Struthio camelus: one gene and its partner. The protein of the gene in region 2 binds, or shares a complex with, the protein of the main gene of each other region. Links are inferred from orthologs where the notes say so. Each region holds a gene or a part of one and is shown on either strand. Other genes may lie near its edges. The genes, in order: MYOM1 and OBSL1.

Region 1 (12,209 bases), on a different chromosome or scaffold from region 2:
AAAATAGCGTGCCTTAGCCAATTTACAGTGCAAAAAATTCAATTTGTTGAATCAGTTAGCATAAAAATGAAACTGTTATGCAAAAGAAGAATTGTTTCATGATATATGGACCTGTCAGCTCAAACTTGTGTCAACAGCCCCAATTTCTTTTACTGCTCCAACCCGACCAGACAAGAGACAGCCCCAAACCAAAAGCCATCTCAGCACTGCTTATTAGCTTGAGCTGCGTTAATATGGCTAAACAACTTTATACGATATTTGGCTCATGCCTAGCCACTTTGGAGCATAAATATGCTTCAACAAGCTGAGCTAACCAGAGCTCTTCCTAGTCCCAGAACCAAGTTTGAAAAACATTTTAACACCAAGTTACAGCACTTATTTCTGCTAAAGAGAAGGAGAGTTTTGCCATTGATTTGAATGGGAGGCGACTGGGCAAACTGTTCCAGAATATTGTTTCAAATATTTACTTACCCAAGACTGTAGGCTTCAGATCCCAGCCTGTAGGATGCAGCCAGCTTATTGATTGATTCAGATCCATGACTATAGGCAGCTGAGCTCTTGCTGAGGGATTCAGAGTCAAGACTGTAGGCAGCAGACCGTTTACTGTGTGCAGCAGAGTGACGGTCATAGGCTGTAGATCCATAGCTGTAGGCTGCTGACTCAAGGGCATGGGCTGAAGAGCCATGACTATATGCTGCTGAAGACTCAAGGCTGTAGTCTGCTGCAGACGCATGGCGATAGGCTGCAGAGCCCCTACTATAAGCTGTAGCTCCTTGAGCATAGACAGCAGATTTGCTCTTTGCTTCCTTTTGGTACTGGCTTACAGTGGACTGCAGTGCTTTGTGGCGGTATGCACGGTCATAATGCTCATGGTGTCTTTGGTAGAAAGGTAAAGACATCATGAGTGCCTTCTAATTTAGCTTTACTGCACTTTTCTGAATATAAAAATAGCAGGACAGTGTCTGAAAGAGAACAGATCAAACAGATGAAGACTGAACTCAAAGAGACTTTTGAGTTAGCATACATATAATACAAAACTTAACATAAGCTAACACAAAACTTAAAACTTTAAAGGTCAAACGCAACAAATACAGGGTTATAATACTTCCTAGACTTTAAGATGGCTTCCTATTTAGGTTTCAAGAAGCTCATGCGTCATTCATCAGGAGTAGAAATCCTCATACTATTGTGTCTGCTCATTTGTAGTTTACTGTGGTCTCCTAGTTATTGCAAACTATGGAAGCTTCTTCAAAGAAAACGTAAATATTTTTGTTAAATGAAAAACAGGAGAATAAAGTAATAAATAATACAATAAAATATGATAGATTTTAACAAGGTAAATTCACTACTTTATAAGCTGAGATCAAAATATATGAACATCTCATTCATTTTAGCAATTCAATTTTCAGATACCTTTTAATATCCAGCCTAATATTTTAAGAGTGAATTAAAAGCAGTAAGACTGACAAGGATGTCACCTTGTTTGGTAAACGTATATTACATTTTTTTTATTTGATACTAGAAATTCATTTAAAAGAGCTTTTCATACTTTTGCAGCTCAGTAAGGGATACAGTCTGTATGCACCGATTAGAATTCTACCATCAGGTTCATCAGTCAGACCCCTTTTTTAACCTAGAACCGCATGTTCAAGATCTTGAAGAAATTCCCTCCAGATAGTATCGCCATTTGGGATCACAGTCATCAGTAGATTATCTTGCAGTGTCTCATAGTAGGAAATTTGATCAGATGAGAGGTGGTTCCCCTTTCAGAATGGGAAGAGGGTTAAAGGCAGAAAGGATTCCCCTTTAGTTTCTTAAATGACAATCCAACCTTTATTTTGTTATTATTTTGTTTTGCTGTTGTTAAAACTGGTATCGTCTTCTCTGGCAAGGAAACTTGTCTATGCTAATTCCTCATAATAACATTTCTTTCTCCTGCCATTGGTGATTAGGCTTATAAGATGGAAAGGACTTTCAGTGAAGAAGCTAGATGGCTACAAATAAAAGTGAGCTGCAGTGAGGGAACTTTTAGAAAAGTATAACGAACGTCCAAAAACAACGGTGAGAGGTGCTTGTTGCTGTTTTTTTCCCCATCAGTTACAATAATATGGAACTTGTTCTACATCTATTTTTATTCATGTTAATGAAACTGCTTATCTGATATTTCGATAGAAAAAACGTTTACAGAGCTAGCGTATAATCTTGATTCCATGGAAATCAAGAATTTTGTCCCTGGTCTTTTGTCGCAGCCAAGATTTTGCTTCTCAGGTTTGTTTTTAGTAGTTGGTTGTGGTAATAAGTCGAACAATTTCAGTTAATTCTCTTTAATGACTAATCAAACTTAGACAAATTACGAAAAGAAAAAAACAGGATTTCAACTGTCCTAAATTTCAGGACCCACTCAAGGTCTAGGAACTGTTTTTCAACTGATAATAGAACTGAACTCTCAGTTTGCAGAAAGTTAACAATAAACGGAGAAAGTCATTCAGAAGTCCTTAAGTATATAAAAGAAATCTCTGATATCCTGACCATAGTGGAACTACGAATTCAAGGGGACTAGCTAATCCATTTACTCTATTTTTACCTGAGGAAGAAGGAGGAATAGGAAAAACTGTTAGCTCATTGTTCCCTGCAGTGAAAACTAATGCTTCACTTTAATTTCCTTATTTCTCCTGATGGCCCTTTTGCACACAAGTCTAGCAAACCCAATGAATCTGTACAGAATCCTTTTTTCTAATACCTATCAATATTTTGTGTTGCTTTTTGATTCACTTTGTTGGCTTCCAGTGGTATATAGTTCCTCTTAATTTGCCTCCTTTTATAACATTTCTTCTCTATTTTTCTTCGTTGCTTTCTCTCCCGGCTCCAAAGAGTTAGATTTAGGGATTGCAAGCCAGTGTGACGTCTGCTGAGCAAAGTTAAATCCTACAGATGACTCTTGTTCTACTCACGGAAAGAAGAAGAACATGAGCACATTCTGTTTTCCATTTGTAAAGCACTACAATTTTTTTCCTTCTTCACCTGCTGTATTTGCAGCACTGGTTAGCTTCGTCATGGATATTAACAGCCACACTACTAACAGCCATGCAGTCCCTGTGGCTCAGGGATTTCCACAGCTTAAGGATTCAAGGTAAGGAACTGATCCAGAAGTATAAAGCACTGCATATATTGCATATTAAAGATAAGTTAAATGAGACATTGATATTTATATATTATAACAGCAAAGAAGAATCAGTGGATTTAAAGTCAACATATTTAAAATGTATAAAGGTAACCTTTTTCTTCCAAATACAAAAGCTCTGGACTAAAGCTATGCCTCAGAAAAACTGAGTTGGATTCATAAAAGGATTATGCATTTATGTAAGTAAGAGCTAAGACACTAAGATATGAGCTGAACAGGAAGCCAGCTCCCCCGGTTCAAATCAAAGGCCAATGGTTACTCATGAGATACAAGAGGAAACTCTTTTCATAGGTATTTTATTACACTGTGACTGTTTTATATTTCCTCTGAAACATCTAGCATTGTTCACTGGTAAGGATCAGCTACGATAGTCTGATCCAATGTAGTAGGTAAACGTTTTTGGAAATAACAAGAAACTCTGAACCTCCTAAGGATTTTGCTCCTATTCAGAGCACTGTCTGCTTGTGGAATTGGCTCCCATCCCTTATGTTTTACAAAATTCATACTACCTGTGTCTACCTACTGTGTGGCCCACTAATCAGGCTCCTTCATATGAGGGTAGCACCCCATCTGAGATCTGTATAGGATTTCACATTTGCAGAGCCGGGCCTAAAAATATTAGCTAGATGCAAGTTCATGTTTTGGAGCCGTTATTACCAGCTGTTGGACTGAATTTTCAAAATGACAGCTAAGTAGACAGCCTACAAGTACAGAGTTCTGTACTTGTTTGTAGGCTGCAAATAAACACTATAGGAAATTATTTTATTGGCATTATCTGTTGCACTACTTAGCAGTCTGTATAATTCTTTAAAAATGAACTCAATCTGTTAGTGAAAACAGTGAAATAGGAAAAACAGAAAAGCTTATAAGCAGGAGAAAAAAAAAAGTAAGATTTCCTTCAGCTCAGTCAATAGTACTTCATCTCCTTTACAAATCATAAAACATCCCATGCAACTAGAAAATATTTAGACTATTTACACATTCCCTAAGGCCAAAGAACTCACACAACAAATTCCTCCTGTATCTCAGTAACTCAGGCTTCATTTGAGAGTACCGTAACAATCTGTAAGGACAGCTGAGTTGATAGTAAGTAAACCAATGCACTACTTTGCTTTGTCTGAACCTGCAGATTTCTTCAACTCAGTTCCACAACTCCCTCAAACAACTGCTGAGCTGAGAAGATTAAAGGGAGCTACTATCAGCTTGGCATTACAGATTGAAAATAAAAATAGCTGAACATGTACATTCTTCTGTCGTAAAGGAACACTTACCGGGACCCAAATGAACAATAACAAGTGGAATAGTTCTGAGGTGGATGAATAACAGAAAAACACAGCAAGGGTGAATCCAGCAAAGAGGTAGTCAGGACCAGGGCTAAGGACTGGACTTTACAGTCCAGAACAAAAATAATGCCTGCGGTCAGTGGAATGCCAGAGCCCCAGTCCAGACCTTTTATGGCCAGGAGGCTGATAAATATAGCATCGAAGAGGGAGAGGAGAGACAGAGACAGATAAAGATACTCTGCGCTGTCTCTGTGCAAGCACATGATGACGACAGCTTCCAACTGAGTTCTCTCCTTTTAAGTATCTTCACTACATTCAGTGCAAAATCTGTATTCCGATTCACAATTATTTATAGGATTTTTTTTTCTAAGTTACATCAGGTTTAGAAGAGAAAAAAGAAAATGTAATGTGTCATGAACCAGAAGTAGGAAAGATCCATCTCAGTATTGACCTTTGCCATGGTGCATGCACCATGTACTTATTTCAGCTAAATGACAGACAACATAGAGTAGTTTCAGCAAAACTCTATAAAGCCATAGAGGTGTTACTATACGGCTGTGTACTTTATTCTGTTGACAGTGCTATGTTTTCATCGTCTTATTTAAGATAAAATTCTAAATTAAGCAGATGACCTCATGAGGCATTTAAGTAGATATAAACAATGCAGCCTTAAGAGCCAAATTTTTTTTCTAAACTCTAAACAGTATTATCTCTGCCACACCAGGGATAATTAAGTGGGCTTTTCTTCTTTCATTTCAGTTACAGCAGTTTGGCATAGAAACGTACAATCACTGTTGCTGAATATTACAGCAGAATAATTTCTGTCACCTGGAAATAGCCTTTAATACGTGGAATGCACTGTGACTTTATTGTAAATATATATTTTCCTCCGCATACTTAATATTCAATACAAATGATTAGTCCGCATTATTTTGCACATTCGCACTGAGAGAGGTGTTAACCCTAACTCTCAGTTCTTAGTTGTTTTCCACCCACCATGCAACACAGCTGAAAACTTTCTAGATCATCATCCTTTTCTGAGGCATTCCCCCTTCTGGGTGGAAGTGGCAGTAGCAGGTCTGGACTAGACCTGTGACTAGGAGCCTCTTCTGTATAAAGTCTCTCCGGTATCCTCTTCACCTCAGCTTCCTTGATTCCACCTAAAATCTCTTTGGTTCCCACACTTCCAGAACCTGCCACTAGCTGCTTGTTCCCTGGGCAGCTACTACCTCCTGCCTCAAGCTGCACCGTGCAGTAAGGTCACCTGGCTCCCCACCTGCCACGCTGGGAACTGCTAGCCTCGATTCACCATACGGGCTTTTGGTGTTTGCCCCCTAGCACAGGAGCTACGGTCAGTAAAAAGTTGGACAGCCCTACAGATTGGCCACACCTGCAATTGGAGGAATGAAAAGCTGGAACCCTAATAGGACCTTTTCTTTCCCCGGGCCAGCCTGTGATTCCAGCCCTCCCTTTGCTTGCTGCACTCCTAGGTGAAAACAAATGTTGAACAAGAAAGGCATTCCTCAGATTGTATTTTAGCCTGCAGAAGTAGGGGGAAATAAATTAGGGGTGAAATGAACCAACATCCGTGTGAGTTTTCCACTCTCAGCGCTGAGTCGACACTTCAGTTGCTGTCCCATCTCTGGTCTCAGATTCCCCACTGCCACTGCTCATATTGGAGACCAGCCTGCTCTCCTTCTCACTATCTGCCATGACAGACGGGGATGGAAAATCGTTACATCATAAATTTAGCAAAACCCACCTGAAAAAGAAAGATTTTTCTCATCGCCGCTGCTTCACACCTTTGATCGCTAGGAAATATCCTATTTCACACCTAAATGTGTTCCTGACTGATTAGACCTGTCTAACTCTGTGTTAACATCGCCCATCAGTCTGACTATTTATTTTCCCTTCCTGATGCTTATTACCCTGAATGTATTTTGAGAGCAAAAATGTCCCCCTCATCTTTTTGTTCTGCTTAGCTAAATAAATAGCTCCTTTACTCCTTTTCATAAGTTAGGCTTCTCGTTTCATTGCTCATTTACTAATCCTTCTTTGTGCCTGTTCCTGTTTGAATTCATCTTTTTCCTACCCCATGGGTGATCTGCGCCTTACAGGACTCCAGAGGAAGTTTCATTAGAGCGTTACCCTCCTACTGTGACACATCTCTGGCTTCACTGGAAAAATGTCAAACGATAGCTTTCATAATTGCATTGGCTTTTTTCACATATACATCTGGTGACTCATCCTGACTGATTAAAGTCTTCAGGTATTTTTTCTCTTCTGTCATTTCCAGCTGAGGAAATCTAATGGCATCTTACGTTTTATGAGCTGACACTTTGTACTACTGAATTTTATCTCTTTATTATTCTTAGCCTTACCATCCATCTCTTCCTGTATCATATTCTAATCCTTCTTTGCATGGTGGATGCATCTCAATATTATGCAATCAGCAAATTACATCAGCACTTTCTTATTTTTCTACTAATGTTGCCCGCAAAAATATTGAATAACTTGGCCTGAAGACTATTTATTCCTTTCCTAGTAGAATTGCTCCACCTGATTCTTTCCCTCTCAACAAAACCTGTTATTGGTCTTCTGGCCATTTTCTTGTCTGCCCTGCACTTCTGGTGTAAATCCCCCATTTTAATTAAAAGCTTTGCAGGTGGCGCAGCATCAAATCTAGATGGATTAAATCAGTTTGTATTTCTGTTTAGAAATTATTTATCATAGTAACAAAAAAGATAGGTTCCTTGATCTGTTCTTGATTCTGCTTGTACTGATCTTGATAGGCTATGTGATTTATTATCACTGAGCACATTCCATCCAAATTTCCATTTTTCTCCAAAATTTGGTAATTCTTTCCTCAAAATTTGTTTTAAAGCAAAATTTTATCAGAAGTCTTACAAGTTATTGATTGTTGGTGTATAGATTGGTTTTTCATTAACAAACTATTTGCCCTCTCATTATTAGTAACATTTGCTCCACAAACTCGTCATGACAGCTGGAAGTGTCCCATAATAAGTCATCTGCTGGCAGCATTCATTTTTCCTCACAACATGGTAAGATTTCTGTTTGTATTCAAACCTGACACAGAATCTATGGCAGGCTCCTAGAACTATCTCAACAGAAAATTTTTATCATCTCTCAGAGTGTCTTTGGCATATCCATACTTTATCCATCCATATGCTCTGTTTTCATTTTATATAATACATCAAAACAAATGGATGTTAAGTGATGTCCCACCCCATATCCATCTGTTTTTCCTAAACAACATATATCCTTCGGTACCTTTATTCCAGTAACGGTTGACAGTTTCTGTTATCCTTACTCTATTTGGCTTTATATCTTGCACTAGAAGTGTTCTCATTTCTCTGTATTTCTCAGCAGCTGCTAGGGACCTAGCAGGCCAAGATCAGTTTACCCACATAGCATGTCTTTATCCAGGGAAAATGTTCTGCTGTGTAGTCAACATGAGAATGGAGGGATTCTTGCCCAAAATATGATGTTTGTCTTTGACCTACCATGAGTCTGTAAGCCAGCTGTGGCTTTGGAACTGGTGACTCATTGTAGCATGACCCCGTAACGAAGGGAGGCATAGCAATGAGGCTCACAGAACCAACGGACAGGTATATTTATATTGTTTTTTTTTTATTTTTCAGCCAAAAGCCTGAGGCTATTCTGCCTAAAAATTTGGCATGACCATAGCTAGCCTTTTGTCTCTTTCAGAATTCTTGTGTCCTATGCACCTACTGTTACGGTAAGTTTGCCAGAAATACTCAAGATGCGCTACTGCTCAGGGAGACATAACTAAAAGTCTCCAATTACCATTTTCAAGAAAAAAATAACAGATTCTTTGACCTGAGACATGCAGTCTCGGGACTTGATTCCCTATTGCCTTGCTTGTGATATTTATACCTGTGGGAAATCAGGACAAGATTGGCTTAAAAACTGCTTCCATATATTTCAATTTACGTCTACATTCCACAGACACAAATAACAATATGAAATGAAAAGCTGTCAGCAAACAGACCCATTTTATCTTCGTTTGGGTTCAGTTAGGCACAGCCAAAATCCCAAATGCTGAAGATACATCATTGCAAAAGTCTGGCTCCAGGTATCTCCTCAGGTTGTCATTACTATTGGATATATACATTTCAGCTATCTCAGCTAGTCTCAAATGTAGAACTGTCACCCAGGAATATCATCTTACTAATAGTTTAGGTAGTAAGTACGTCTTTGCTCCCTAACCAAGAAGCCAACAACTTTTAAAAGTGTTTTACTTTGGTTGTCTTACAGCTTTCTACCCCAGTAGAGCAGCAGCAACAGACTATTTCTAGATCAGCTGTTTCTGAGGAACTATTAACAGTCTTGGAAAGACTGGTCAAAACATCTTGACAGATGACTGCTGAAGGACCAAAGAGATGTTTCAAACTACGACAACTCACATGTAGAGGACTTGACTGCTGTAAATATTTACTCCTGCTCCTGGTAGTAGCTCCTGCTATTTAGTTACACAGTTTTTAGAATGAACTAAAACACTTTTAAACATGAGGTAAGTAGTCTGGCCAAATTATTTAGATACTTGTCCCTTCATTTATCGTTCAATAACTTATTTATCATTATCTTAGATGGTGACTTTGTATTGATTGTCTCTCCCATTCTTCTTACCAAAAGTCTTCTAAACTGCATGACTTCATTACGAAGCAAATGAACTATAGATATCGCTTTACTTACAGATTTAAGCCACTATTACACTAATACAAAGCAATAGCCTCCAATATTACAAGGATCAGTACTACAGTAATTCAGGCATAGCTAATACAAATCACTACGTAGGCTATAATAACAACTCTCATTTTCCTCCTATGGGTCTTCATATCACTTGCTGAAATACTTCTGAAACAACAAACAATTTCTACTATAGGAAAGGATCATGGGAGTCCCTCGATAGAAAAAAAAGAATTGTTTTAGCTATCACACTTGCAAATGGTTTCAAATATAGTAATTAAGCCGAACAAAGTTTCAAGGAAAATTTGCATCAAAATTTACAAATGTTTTATTCAATACATCCTGTAGGACTGAGACATGAGTTTTAAAACATCAAAAGCAATTAGGCATGAAAAACTGTTTCAGAAGATGAGGACTTAATGGAAAGAGATCTAGTGAAGGAAAGATGAAGAGAGGAAAATAAACTGGAGTTTAGTATATGAAGACCAGAAAATGATACATTGAAGAAAAGGAGGAACTAAGATGGAAAAGATCTGAAGGATAAAGGCACAAGTCAGAAATAATGTTAGTGATTATTTATCATGTGTGATTTAGTTTTAAACTAATTAGTTCGCAGCAGCAAAGGATTTTGAGACAACTGGAAAACTCGCCAGGACCCTTTGTAAATAGTTAGGCAATTAATCAAACTATTTTAAAAGTTTTTTTCTTTTTCCGGGTGCTTAAAATATATTTCCCATAGCTTGTAGCTTCAGGGTGCAGTACAGTCATATTCCACAAGGGTAGCAGTGTACTTAACTTCGAAATGAATGGACTCTGATTTTTGTGTGATGGACTAGCATTCTCATTTCTCAATCTACACTACAAGATAAATTTCCTACATTTGGGGCAAACTCAAGTTTGGAGACCGCAGTAAAAGGGATCTGCATCAGCCAAGAGAAGATACTTAAGAAAGAAAGGAGAAGAACATAAGAAATTGCTAGGCAAGGTTAGTCCCGTATCCTGATTGACAGTAGCCAGTACTAGATGGTCAGTAAAAGGTACGAGAAACCACACAGTGGACAGTTTTGCCAAAACCTTTCTAAGATGTTTCCCCTTAACGTTTGTTGTTGTTGTAATGGTTTAACCAAGCCCACTATTTTAAAAAATATAAGTTTTAGAATAACTCTCTGTGATTTATAGTAAAACCTCTCCATTTGGTTTCATGCTAGTTCTAGAGACGTGAGTATGAACTTTACTGACTCCTTGAAAGTCAATTTGAATTTGGTGACTTTCTAAGCTGTGCAAAATTACTAGTCCCCATGTGTGTTTTTCTCTCTACAGCTTATTATTGGCTTCCTACCAGCGGTCAGTGTCCTATTAGCATGCCCGTGCCTCTTCCACTGAACTACCCTTCAGGAGGACACATAAGTATAGTGATAGCAGTCTTCCTCCAAAAAAGGGGGCTTGAAAAGGAGCAGAGAACCGCTGCCAGATTTCTGAGCACTGGGATTCAGAATCCAGCAGTTTTATAACTTCACACACACACACACACAAGACTATACCTCAGCAGTGACAAAATGTAAATCTTAATCTAGCAAACTCAACTCTTCCAAGTCATTTAGCCACACCACATTGCAGAAGGACTCCTCCAAAATACTGTGCTTGTGTATGCCAGCAGTGAAAAACAGCTACTTCCAGACGTATCTGCACCCCTTTCAGTATTTTCACCGTCTAAGCTGCAGCAAGGCAGGATGAGAGACATACACCATACGGGCAATAGATGTGCCCAAACCCCTCTGGCTGCTGTGGTGCCTGAGGAAAAGGGACTACAGGTTCATTGCCAAAGAAAGAAAAACTTTGTGACCAGAAGTGGGAGACTTAAGAGAGGGTACCCAAAGGTACCTAGGGGAAAGGGGGGCACAAAGCAGGAGATGGCCTCTAGCTATCAAAATATCCTTCTCTGTCTCCACAAGGAGCTGACTTGGAAAGCATAACAGCTTTTTCCTGATGACAGCTACCCCAGAATACAGATTTGTCCATGCTAGCTTTAAGCTAGCTAAGTGCAGCATCAGTGATGGTGTAGCTCTGGCAACATAAAGCCCACCATAAGGCTTTTTCCCTGGTACTTACTGAGCTAATCAATTTAAGGTGAGTTTTGCAGTCAGCCTTGATCTCTGCACTGCTGCGGGTGTACTGCTAGCAGAAATTGCTAGCAAAGTCTTGAACCACAAGATTTAGCACGCATAATTTGGCCTTAGAAATAAAGCACAGAAGCAGATTTTTTTTTTAACGTTTTCCATTTATAATGTTACCAAACTGCATGCTTTTAAATAGGTAAATGTTATCCCAGTAGCTCGATTTCTGAGACCTTAATCAAGGTCCTAAATAGCTGAGATATATCCTAATTTGGCAGGCCCTTACGTCCAGAAACAAGTGATATACTCACCATTTTTTGTTACGTAAAGCACCAGCTGTAGCACAGTTTAGCTGATAGCCTGGTGTGTTTTGTGGACTCAGCTTCTCATCCGCACTATTTTTCATTTAGTGCTTCAGTTATTTTAACTGGGTGTTGAAAAAAAATCATTGTCCAATTTCGCTCAAAATCTTTCTGTTAAAAATCTGTCTGCTGTTTCATACCAGCTATTCTGCATCTCTTCTACTCATTGTCACTGCTGAATCTCTATATGTGGAAATTGTATGAAGATTTTATATTTGCCTGAAAACATGATGGGTATATTTAATATAAAATTATTCAGAATTTGCAAATTGGTAAGGAGAAACACTCTCTCGCTCTCTTTTTTTCCCCTAACTTTGATGATGGTTACTATTGCTTTGCATAAATCACAGTGTAGTTGTGGTAACTGGAAAGATATAAGCTTTCTCCAGAGAATTAAAGCTTCCTATGCAGTCGTTTGTGAAAAATCTTCCATATGCTGATGTGCCCTCAAAAGAAGTACTATTTTATATTTAAGATATTGTACCTCACATTTTCTAGTCATTTTATATTTTAAATATTACTTTATTTCACTTTTCTT
Region 2 (11,233 bases):
TGCCGCTGTCCGAGGGACCAGCAGAGCGGATGAGCAGCCTCCGCACATGGCCCTCCGCCTGCACGGCAATAACGTCGTCCAAGGGCACGGCCTCCCCGTCCTTGACCCAGCAGACGGGGGCGCCCGGAGGGGACACCTCGCACTCCAGGAGGACGGGCAGCCCTGCCGGCTGCTTCCGGAGGCGCTGGGCCTCGGGCACCGGGGCGATGTGGACCTGCTGGGCTGAGTAATCGTGGAGGGGTAAGAAATGGGTCCGGGCCCTCGCTTGGCCAGGCAAGCTGGGAGAGCCCCTCAAGTCCCAGCTGGTTGGACCTCAGCACGAGCATGAGGACAGTGTGAAATATCGCCACCCTAACCCGTTGGCAGTGGGTGCTGCTGGACACTCCCAGGGTGCTGGTGCCCAGAGGCTGTCCCGGTGCTGCTCACCACCCCGTATCTGCTCTGCCCAGCATCACCTGTAGTTAACCCATCCCTACCCCGGGCCAGGGGTGCATGTTACATCCCTGGTCGAGACTCAGAGCCGACAGGCACAAGAGCTCCTGGGCCACTGCTGTGGTACCAGGACAGCACAATGCAATGGAGCCGTGCCTTGGCGTGAGGGCAGAGGGCTCCCAGCCAGGCTGGGCAGATAAGGAACAGCCTTACTCCAAGCCCTGGAGGGAATCAGGTGCCCAAGTTCTGCACAACTCCTCTACGGCCCACAGTGCTTAGAGGTGCTTTGTGCTCCGCAGGTCCAGCTCAAAGGAGCAAAGCCAGTCTTTCTTGCAGGAAGCCAGCACTCCCTGACCTGGGGCTGGGAGGCAACAGCACGTCAGAGGCCACTCGCCCACCTCCTGCTCCTGAGGTGACTCTAAGGAGGGGGTGCTGGACATGGGAAAAAGCCCAGGCAACCCACAGCTCAGGAGGGGTGACTGCAACCGATGTGCCATCCTCCATCCCGTGCTGCTCTCTTCCCTGCCAGACCCCAGCCCTGCTCACCTTGCACCTGGAGCGTGGCTGAGTCCCGAATGCCGCTGGACACAAAGGTGACCTGGGCCCCGCTCTCCTCCAGCCGCACTCCCCGGATCAGCAGGGAGTGCTCCATTTTGCAGTGCTGCACGCAGTACCGGCCGCCTACCGCCTCCTCATCGCCCAGCCTCACGCCGTTCAGGAACCAGGCACCCCGCACCGAGGCAGAGAGCTCCAGGGAGAAGTGCGCATCCTCACCGTCCCGCACCCGCGCGTCCTGCAGGCCTCTCTCCAGGCGAGCTGCCGGGACTGGAGCAGGGCAGGACTCAGCCCCAGACAGCAATGGCACGTGCCAGGGGCCAGCAGACCCCAGAAGCATGCTGACCCTGGCTGCCTGCTGCCCCTATCCAGCCTCCAGGAGCATCTGGGACCCATCCCCTTGGACTGTGTCAGCGGAAAATTGCCCTGCAGCTCCAGGACCAGGCCATAGTGGCCATCCCATTCTCTCCCGGGAAGAAGAGCTTGGAAGCAGTCTGGGGTGTGTTATTTAAGTGCAGTGCTCTGTGCAGGCTGGCTCACAAGGTCAAGGACCACCAGCTGGGAAAGTTGGCGCCAACAGGCTGGTCCTGAAGGCAGGTCAAGGGCTGGTCCAGCCCATCCCAACAGATTCCTAAGGAAAGCCAGGTCTCAGCCCGGCCTGGGAGGCCCAGAGGGGGACGAAGGAAGACCCATGGCCCAGATGGAGTTGTAGCCCTCACCAAGATGCACGGAGCCGGGGAACTCCACGGGCCTGCTCCTGCCGTACTTGTTGACAGCACAGACACGGAAACGGTAGTCTGCCTCGCAGGGCACGCTGTCGCCCAGCACCTCCACCAGGCTGGCCAGGTCGGTGGTGAGGCAATGCACCCACTCACTGGTGCTGACCTCCTGCCGCTCCAGCACGTAGCTGCTGGGGGGGCGATGGTGCACGTCGGGCGCAGGGCACCACGTCAGCAGTGCCGCGTTACTGTGCTCCGTGCTCATCCTGGCCGCCACCGGGGTGCTCGGAGGGTCGCGCTTCACACCTGCAACCCACAGACAGCATTTCCTCCTCGGAGACTGCAAGCCAGGCTCCGAGCAGGGGAGCGAGGCAGGGAAAGGGGTGAGTACGGGGCTGCGCAACCTCTTCCACCGAGGATCCTCTCTCTGATGGCAGAGGCTGCTCATGCTTGGAGAGCATCAGCTCAACAGGGGCCTTGCACTCGTGCAGCATAGTGCCAAGCTGCCTGCTATGGGAAGTTGTGGAGCACCAGCAAGACTGGGGCCCTGGGGCCAGGGCCCTGCTAAAAGCCTCATTCCCCAAAGAGCAATTACAGCTGTCACATCCCCAGTGCAGTGGGTGCCCATACTGGCTCTCCTCCATGTCAGCAACCCGTGAATGGGGAGGAGGGAGGACATGGGGTCCCTTAGGAGCTTACACTTGACCCGGAGCTGGGAGGATGTCTGAGACTCCCCAACCGCAAAGGAGATGACGCCCGCCTCCTCCCGGGTGACGTGCACCAGCACCAGGAGGTGAGTCCTGCCGAAGCTCTTCAGCACGGTGTGGGACGACTCCTGCAGCTCCTGCCCGTTCCGGCTCCAGCAGATCCCCTCCACCGCCTCCCGCGTCTCCACACAGAAAGCCGCGTTCTCCCCCTCCATGACGTCCAGCTTCCGCGGCAACCTCTTCACGATCACCCCTGAGAAAAGGGCCAGGTGAGGGGTGGGGAGGGAGCAAGGGGCAGGAGAGGGGTAGAAGAAGTCTAGGAGGGGTAACAGCAGGCACGTGGAGGTGTGCGGGCAAAACAGTGGGAGGGCAGATGCAGGGGGCAGCAGGGAGCTGCCTGGCCTGGAGGGGGGAAGGTAGAGCTAGGGGAGCTGGGCCTGCCCCCCACCTCGGACGGAGACCTCAGCAACGCTGCGCCCCTTGTCCTTCATCTGGCAGAGGTAGATGCCGTCGTCGTCGGTGCGGGCGTCGCGGATGGTCAAGCGCCGCAGCACGCCGTGCTCCTCCATGACGTACTTGGGGCTGGGCTGGAGCTCCTTGTCCTCCAGGTACCAGGCGGTGGGAATGGTCTCCAGCGGCACATGGCACTCCAGCACGGCGTCCTCCCGCTCCTGCACCTCCACGTCCGCCAGCTGCACCTGGAAGCGCACGCGGTGCTCTGGAGCCAAGAGAGAGACGGGTGCTGAGGAGCGCACGGGGCCAGCACCCCCACCGCCACCACTCGGCCCCCTCCCCGTGCCCTATGCCAGCTCTCGCCGTCCTTTGGCCCTTTGCGCAAGGCTCTGCCAGCTTGAAAATAACACCAAACCCTGGGCCCCCCTGCCCCGCAGCCTCTCCTGGTCACTGGGGGCCAGTCCACAGCGCTGCTTGCCAGCAGTGGCCAAGCCCCCGCTCTCCGCCTTGACAAACGTCCCAGCTGGGACGCCTGCGCCTGCCCGGCTGCCAGCTCAGCTCAGCCCCGGGGACAGCATCGTCCCCGGCTTCCCCGGCTGTTCCTGGACACCACAGCAGACACCGCCACCGCCAGCCCGTCCCTCCAGGACGCTGGGGCATCCTCCCCCGGCCTCCGTCCGTGTCCTCCGGTCGGGCGAGGGCTCAGGCTGGATTTTCCCTGCCCTCGGCACAAGCCGGGCAGGTGTGGGCAGCACCCTGCCCTGCTCCCCACACGTGTCCCCGGCGAACACCCCCGGCGCTGGTCCGCACAGCCCCACGGGGTGGGAGAGGGCAGCGCGCTGCCCCTGGCCGCTATTTTGGGCCGCGGCAGCTGGGCGGGAGGCGTGCAGCAGGGTTGGAGCCAGACCCCCTCCCAGGAGGGGCCCTTCATGGTGCTGCAATGCCAAATGGCGCTGCAAAAGCCCCCGCTGCCTGTGACGGCCGCTGCCCCGGGGAGCGATTTCCCAGAGCGAGGGGAAACACGGCGCAGGTCAGCAAAGCCAGGCGATGCCGCCAGCACCTCAGCGGCGAGCTCCCGGGGATGCAGAAGCGTGCAGGGCAGCACGCCGCAGCAGGCGTCCGGGCAGGCGGCGCTGCGCGTGGGGTGGGTGCACGGCCGCCGGCGGGCTGGCAGCGGGGCAGCGCCAGGTGCTGCATCGCCCTCGGCGAGGGGCCGTCCTGGCATCCCCAGCTGGCAGCGGGGCTCCGTGCAGGCTTTGCCAGAGGGACGGGGCTGTCGCCAGCGCAGACGCTTGGTGCCGTGCCCTGCAAGGCTCCCAGCCAAAGCTGCTCTGCGCTTGCAGGGGAATTTGTCACCAGCATGTCGCGCCCCCTCCCTGCTCGCGGCCTGACACGCGCAGCCCCCTAGAAACATCACCCCTCTGCTTACAAGGAGAGGGGCATGGCGGGGGGACAAACACGGGAGCTACCAGCCCCTGGGGCAGCCCAGCAGCCCACGCCTGCCGCTGGCCCCGTCTCGACAGACCCCAGAGGCGCCCCGGCCCCCGCGCGCCCCCAGGCCTGCCCGAGCCCCTGGGAGGGGAGCCCAGCAGCGCTTGCTCAGCCCGCGTGCCCTGACATGCACGTGCACGCGCAGATGCGCCCCTGCTAGGCAAACAGCCCCAAAAGCACACCCGCAGCCCCCCGCAGCCCCGGCGGCCCGTGGGCCGGTACCTACCCTTCACCTGGAGCTGCACAGCGCTGAGGGTCTGGCCGGCCGTGTTGGAGGCGGTGCAGATGTACAGCCCCTGGTCCTGGGGCTTGCAGTACAGCACCTTGAGGATGAAGTAGCCCTCCCTGTCCTCGTAGACGAGGTGCCTGCGCCCCGGGGTGACGGGCTTCCCGTCCTTCTTCCAGACGATCTCCGGCTTGGGCTTGCCGGTCACGTAGCAGCGAAACTTGGCGTGCTTCCCCGCGCTCACGGCGAACGCCTTGGCGCCCGGCACGCCGGCAGGCACCTCACCGTTGGGCAGCGCCCAGCCCTCGGGCACGGTGCTCTGGACGGCGGCGTGCCGGCGGCGGTGCTGCTGCCGCTCTCCCGGCTGCTCCAGGCCGTTCCCGGGGGACCCGCGGGATCGCTCGTCTGGCAGCCCCGGCGCCAGGGGCTCGACCAGGAGCACGGCCGCAGCCAGGGCTTCCCGGGAGCCGCTCCGCGCCCGGCACACGTAGACCCCCCCGTCCGGGGGCCGAGCGCTGAACAGCTTCAGGAAGTGCCAGTCTTCAGGCTCCTTCCCCACCGAGAAATGACTGCTCTCAAAGAGGTCGGAGAGCTCGTGCCCATCCTTCTCCCAGTGCAGCACCGGGCAGGGCTGCCCTGACACCCTGCAGGTGAACATCACGTCCTCCCCCCGGCACACCCGCATCGACGAAGGCCGGACCAGGAAGACGGGTGGCTTGTTTTCATGGTCTCCCTCCTCCTGGGGCTCCCCGGCCTCCACTTTGAGTGTGGCAGCAGCATAGGTCTCGCCAACGTTGTTCTTGGCCTTGCAGACGTAGAGCCCGCTGTCCTCCGGGGTCACTCGGGAGACCAGCAGGCTGTAGACATTGCCCTTGGCCTCCACATGGAAGCGGCCTGACGGTTCGATCGGGGTCCTGTCCTTCTCCCAGAGGATGCTGGGGCGGGGGTCGCCCGCGATCTGGCACTTCAGGACGGCGTCAGCGCCGTTTTGCACCGTGAAAGTGCGCGGGTAGGCCAGGAACCTGGGTGCTCCTGCAAACCCGTCCATCCCGGCCTCCCCGGCCTCACAGCGGGCAGCTCAGCGGGACAGCAACGGGGATCATCAACCTGGAGCGATGCACGGACAGACCGGGGCTGGGGTGAGGCTCCAGCTACGGCCCTGGTGCGGGGCACCTCCGGGAGGCACCCCCTGCGCCCCGCGAGCACAGCAGGAGCACTGCATCTCCTCCCCTCGCTCCGAGCCCCCTGCCCCACTGGGCTGCAGGGACACGGGCTGCCCCAAGCCCTCCCGGGGGCGGCGGGGGCCTGAGCCAGGATGCCAGCGCCCCACGAACATGCTGTTTGCCTGACTTGGCGCTTCCCTGAATATGCTCCAGCCTCAGCCCAAACCAGCCATTTTTCTGCCCAACAGCCGTGGGAAAGGTGGCAGAAGACAGTGCTTCGTGCCCCAAGGTGCCTACAGCCCCGGCTGTATATGCGTACAGACAGGACCCCCAGCTCCAGGAGCACAGGGCCCCTGGCTGGATGGGGCACGGGAGCGAAGGCAGCTCCACGCGGGGTGCCGGGGACGGGAGATGGGGCAGGGGCTGGGGCCGAGGCAGGAAGGGCCCCAGCCCCGGCCGTCCCCACCCGCGGGGGCATTCCTGCGGTATCGGGTGGTGGCAGAGCCACATTCCTGCAGCATCTGGGCTGGCTCAGGCGCAGGTGCTGATAAGGGGCTGTCATGGCGGGGGGCGGGGGGGAATCCGGCCGGATCCGGGTGCTTTCTCCCCGGCTCAGCAGGACAGGGAAGCAGGGCTCCCAGCAGAGCTCCCTGCCTGGGGCAAAGAGGGGCTCCCCACGGAGAGGAGGTCCCTGCTCCAGAGCGTGGCTGCAAAGGCAGGATCCCCCACCCCAGCCATTAGGTATCAAAAGCCGTAACTCTAAATGAAATAACCAGGCGCTCAAGCCCCAGGGGTGCAGAGGGAACGCTGTAGGGACCGATCCTGCTGCCAGGCAGCCAAGACACCGACTCGACCCCCAGCCCCGCAGGTGACAATATCCATCATCACAGGCTGGAGAGCGGCAGCGTGGTCTCTCTGCCTGGCCTCTGCCCACACCGTCACCGGGGCTGGGGGCAGAGGTGTCTCTGCACTGCTCAGGCAGGGCAGGACATGGGGAGAGAGAAGCCAAGATACTGCCTGAGCGAAAGGGCAGGGGAGGGTGGGACGGGGCCGGGGTCCCCAAGAAGGAGGGACCAGGGCCAGATTCTCCTCCCAAACCTCTACCTGCAGGCAATGCATTCATTCAGTGAGGCATTCCCGGCCAGATGCTCCTCTAGTCCCACGGGCTGCCCCAACAGCAGCTCCCACAGACAGGCACAGCCCCGACGGCTTGGCCACTCTGCTACTCCCCTCCAGCTGCCCCCGTGTCCCCCCGATCCCCCTGCCCCACGCAGCCCCCACACCACAGTCCCCTGCCCCACACACGTACCTCACTCCTTCGCCTCTTCCCTGTGTCTCCCAGCACCGGCACCCAGCTCCTGCTGCCTCCCCCAGCTCTGCTCCTGGACGTCAGCATGCAGGGACCAAACGTTACAAATGCCTGCAGCTGCTGTCCCCAAAAATACCCTCTGATGACACATTGGGCTGATAAGACTGAGCCTGCTCCATTCAGTGCCTTGGCTGGGAAGGGCTGGCCTATGTATAGCGCCCCAGCAGGAGAGCGGCCCTGCCTGGAGTGGGGAGACAGTCCTTGACCTCCAGGGCTCCAGCGTTCGGCAGGCTCAATGGTGCCACGGTGTGGGGTCAGCCTGCCGCAGGAGAAAACACATTGTGTGGGACCCAGGCTGAACAAAGATGGGACATGCCACCCGGGACATGCTGCATGGGACACACCACATGGGAGGGGATATGCCACAGGGGATGCACTGCATGGGATGCCAGGCTGCAGCGAGATGGGACACACCATATGAGACACACTGCATGGGATGCCAGGCTGCAGCGGGATGGGATGTGCCACACAGGATGCACTGCATGGGACACTGGGCTGCTGCAGGAGTGGGCTGGCACAAAAGCTGCATCCCACCATGCAGACACGCAGGATTCCTGGAGACAAGACTCCTGGACACCAGACTCCTGTCACTGTCCCTGCAGGCAGCCGCAGGAAGAAGGGCAGGATGCACTGGGGGGGGGAGGGGGTCCCCTCACAGCCAGCTGCCATCAGGCAGCTCCAGCTCCCAGGAGCAAGTCTGCAGCCAGGCAACCCAAAGGGCACTGTGGCCTCTTTCACCTGGTGCTACTGTAGGGTCTCCAGCTGGCTCAGCTCTGCCTCACTTCTTCCTCCTCCAACTCCATCGCAGGCTGGCCCAGCCTTTCCCTGGCCACTGCCTGTCCCAGGCTGCACGGGGTCCTTTTCCCATCCCTCCTGCTTCGTATCACGGGACCTTGTCAGCCGCCTCCTGCCCACCACAGGCTGCCCTGGAGATGCCGCAGTTCCCCCTTCCCCAATCTGTCCTTCCTCGGGCTCCCTCCTCATGTCCCTGCTCCCCAACGACCTCGAGGTGACCAAGACATCTCCAGCACAAGCATGCCCAGCCTGCCACCCCTAAAGTCCCTCCCCACATCTGGGCCTCACAAGGTTCTGGACCACATTAGGTGTCTGCCCAGGTTTCATCACCCAGCACAGCCACCATCACCTCCCCCTGTGCCCCCAGAAGCCCTGAGCCCGCAGCTCCCTCACCCTGCTCCAGCATGGGGACACCCCACACCGGCAGCTGCCACGCTCGCCCCAGGGTGCCCCTCCATCCACACTGGCACAGCAAAGCCTTCACGGCAGCACGCTGCCTGCAGCCTGGCCTCCCCCAGCCCCGTGCACCCACTGCCCCGGCAGCATCACCCCCGCGCCCCCCTCCCTGGGCGCCTTCCCCCCCCCCCAGACCACACTGTCCTTGCAGTCCTTGCATTCCAGACGTCTCAGCGCTTTCGCTGCCCAGAGATAATATTCACGGCGAGCAGACGTTTGCGTCAGTGTCAGATACGTCTCAATGCCACCGTGCCCCAGGCGGCGCGCAGTGGGCAGACGGGCTGGGCTTGCAGGCAGGCACCCACGGCAGAGCCCCCCGAGCAGCCGGCCCACCGCACGCCCCGCGGCCATGCTGCTCCTCTTGCACCTGCTGCCAGCCATGCTGCCCCCCGCCGCCCTGGCCGCCTGCACCGGCGCTGGCGCCGACCGGCAGCTCATCCTGGCCAAGGTCCGGGCACGGGTGCTGGAGCATCTGAGCCCCCCTGCACCCCAGGAGGGGCCCCGGCAGGAGGGGAGGAAGATGCATCGGAGAGACGTCCTGGAGACCCCAGAAGTCCCACACGAGGAGCTGGAGGACACCTCCCAGGTGATCCTCTTCCCATCCACAGGTGAGAAAGCCCCTGTGAGGATGGAGAGGGCAGAAGAGCTAAGCTGGGCTGGTGGGTCAGGGCATCAAGCATGCAGCAGGACTATGATGCTGGTGTGGGACAGAGGAAGCAGGTAAGCCAGGCTGGGACGTAGGGGTGGCTGAAATGTGACGGAGAGCCATGAGGCGGAAGGGGAAGGCAGGCAGGGGTAGGCAGGTCAGCCCAGGACCCGGCAGGGAGAGGGGCAGAGGGCAGGTGAGGGGCACAAGAGGCAGGCCAGGGTGCTGACAGCTAGACAGGCTGGGGACTGCCTGAGCCAGCTGGGATGCAGAGAGACGGAGAGGGATGAGGAGAGGACAGGGCAGGATGCTAGGGGACAGGGCAGGACACTAAGGGACAGGGGCAGGATGGAAAGGGATGGGGGCAGGATGCTAGGGGACTGAGCAGCACTAACGGATCAGCCTAGGGTGCAGAGGGGCACAGCTGGCCTCCCGCCAGGGCTCAGCCTGCCCCGGCCCCAGGGAGCTGCTTGCTGCACAGCCCTGGCTGTCCCCCGGGCAGATCTTGCCGCTTGGCCGGGAGCGGGGGGCAGAACGGCCTCCCCACTGGGACAGCAACCCACGCTGGGCACACTGGGACCCCCTCTCCGCCCCACACCCCATGGGAGCCTCCAGCAAGCCTCTGCCAGCCTTCAGTCCCCCTCCGCAGCCCGCAGGGTCAGACTGAGCTGCCCCGAAAGGCGGCCAGAGCCCACGCTCTGCCGCAGCCGCCGGGGACACGGGGCTCCCCAGCCCGAACGCCCGCGAGGGGCAGGACGTGCTGCCCCAGCCCCGACCCTGCCCACGCAACACAGGCTCCAAGCCCCCCGGCGGCGGGCGCTTCGCCCCGTGGGCCTGAGCCTGCCGGCTGTCCGCGAGGCCGGGGAAGCGCCGGGCAGCAGCCCTTCCCGGAGCCGCGGCGCAGGCACCTGCTCGGCCGGCGCCGTGCCGTGCAGTAGCTGCTGCGCAGCGCTAGATGTCAGCTGCCCCGCGCCCGGCCGCCGCCAGGCCTGCGCGGCGGGCACCCTCGGGGACCCCCTCTGCACCACCCCAGCCTCTCGCCCTGCTTTGGGACACCCTGGGGTGCCTCCTTCCCCCGTCCCGGCGGCTTGTGCACGCGGTCAGGGCGCAGGGCGTTTGGCGGCGTGCCCCGGCGCGGGCACCTGCTGCAGCACCCCGGTGCTTTTTTCCCCTTGCAGACGTGCCCTGCGAGCCCACGCAGCCGGACAAGCTGCTGGAGGAAGAAGGGATTTTCACCTACCTCTTCCAGCCGTCACCCCACACCCTCAGCCGCGCCGTGACATCGGCCCAGCTCTGGTTTTACACCGGCCCCGCGGCCGCCCGTAACCACTCGGCCCCGGACGTGCTGACCCTGTCGCCGCAGGGCCGCGTGCCCGTGGTGGCCACGGCGGTGCAGGCGCCCGACCACTGGACGGTGTTTCATTTCGCCCCCGCCTTGCTGCCCCACATCTCGCAGCCGCTCTTCGTGCTGCTGGTGCGCTGCCCCGGCTGCCCCTGCCTGGCCGACGGGGAGAAGATGCCCTTCCTGGTGGCCACCACCCGGGCCAAGGGCAGCGAGCGGGCTCGCCGCTCCACCGTGCCCTGGTCCCCGGCCGCCCTCGGCCTGCTGCAGCGCCCGTCGGAGGACGTGGCCGCCCACACCAATTGCCGCCGGGCCTCCCTCAACATCTCCTTCGAGGAGCTGGGCTGGGACAACTGGATCGTGCACCCCAGCAGCTTCGTTTTCCACTATTGCCACGGCAGCTGCTCCGAAGGCCACGGCTTGAGCCACCGGCTGGGGGTCCAGCTCTGCTGCGCCGCCCTGCCGGGCACCATGCGCTCGCTGCGTGTCCGCACCACCTCCGACGGCGGCTACTCCTTCAAGTACGAGACCGTGCCCAACATCCTGGCCCAGGACTGCACCTGCGTGTAGCGCCCGGCTCGCCCCGCTCGGCCCCGCGCGAGGGGCTCCCTCCCGCCCCGGCACGTCCCAGCCGCAGCCCTGCCCCGGACCGCGGCCCCGGCCTTCCCTCGCCCTGCCCCAAAGCCCTGGGCAGCCCAGGATCCCGTCCAGGGCGACGGAGGAGTCACTGGCACGAGGGAGCCCTGCCCCACGCCGCGGTGCCGTCCCCTGCTCGGGGACGGGGACGAGAGGGGGACCCGGAGCGCCCTGCCCCACGAGCCCCCATGCCACCCAGCGTTTCAGCGCTCCCGCCGGCGGGGCGTTCACCCTGGCAAACCC

What was found.
Region 1: the proteins of OBSL1 (region 2) and MYOM1 are in contact, whole or in part, in a crystal structure (PDB 5FM5), measured with the Homo sapiens proteins. The link is inferred for Struthio camelus from reciprocal best matches to the Homo sapiens genes OBSL1 and MYOM1. Residues at the interface, in NP_056126.1 of Homo sapiens: Pro243, Lys253, Phe255, Val257, Asn258, Gly260, Lys261, His262, Ala263, Lys264, Phe265, Arg266, Cys267, Tyr268, Val269, Met270, Gly271, Lys272, Pro273, Pro275, Trp279, Lys305, Tyr308, Tyr317, Cys319, Ala321, Arg322, Asn323, Ser324, Ala325; in NP_003794.3 of Homo sapiens: Arg616, Pro617, Ser618, Ala619, Pro620, Trp621, Thr622, Gly623, Gln624, Ile625, Ile626, Val627, Thr628, Glu629, Glu630, Glu631, Pro632.

Annotation. Positions count from the first base shown.
Region 1 is NC_090943.1:118,820,007-118,832,215, reverse strand, and holds the start of MYOM1 (myomesin-1), read right to left. Parts: upstream 4,627-12,209; 5' UTR 4,453-4,626; intron 3,131-4,452; exon of another isoform or gene 2,946-3,130; intron 963-2,945; 5' UTR 903-962; coding exon 472-902; intron 1-471. UniProt on the Homo sapiens protein: Major component of the vertebrate myofibrillar M band. Binds myosin, titin, and light meromyosin. This binding is dose dependent.
Region 2 is NC_090947.1:27,735,999-27,747,231, reverse strand, and holds the start of OBSL1 (obscurin-like protein 1), read right to left. Parts: upstream 5,632-11,233; coding exon 4,584-5,631; intron 3,132-4,583; coding exon 2,862-3,131; intron 2,667-2,861; coding exon 2,406-2,666; intron 2,013-2,405; coding exon 1,707-2,012; intron 1,258-1,706; coding exon 979-1,257; intron 223-978; coding exon 1-222. Other genes in the region: INHA (inhibin alpha chain), read left to right, coding at 8,608-8,974, 10,191-10,924. UniProt on the Homo sapiens protein: Core component of the 3M complex, a complex required to regulate microtubule dynamics and genome integrity. It is unclear how the 3M complex regulates microtubules, it could act by controlling the level of a microtubule stabilizer.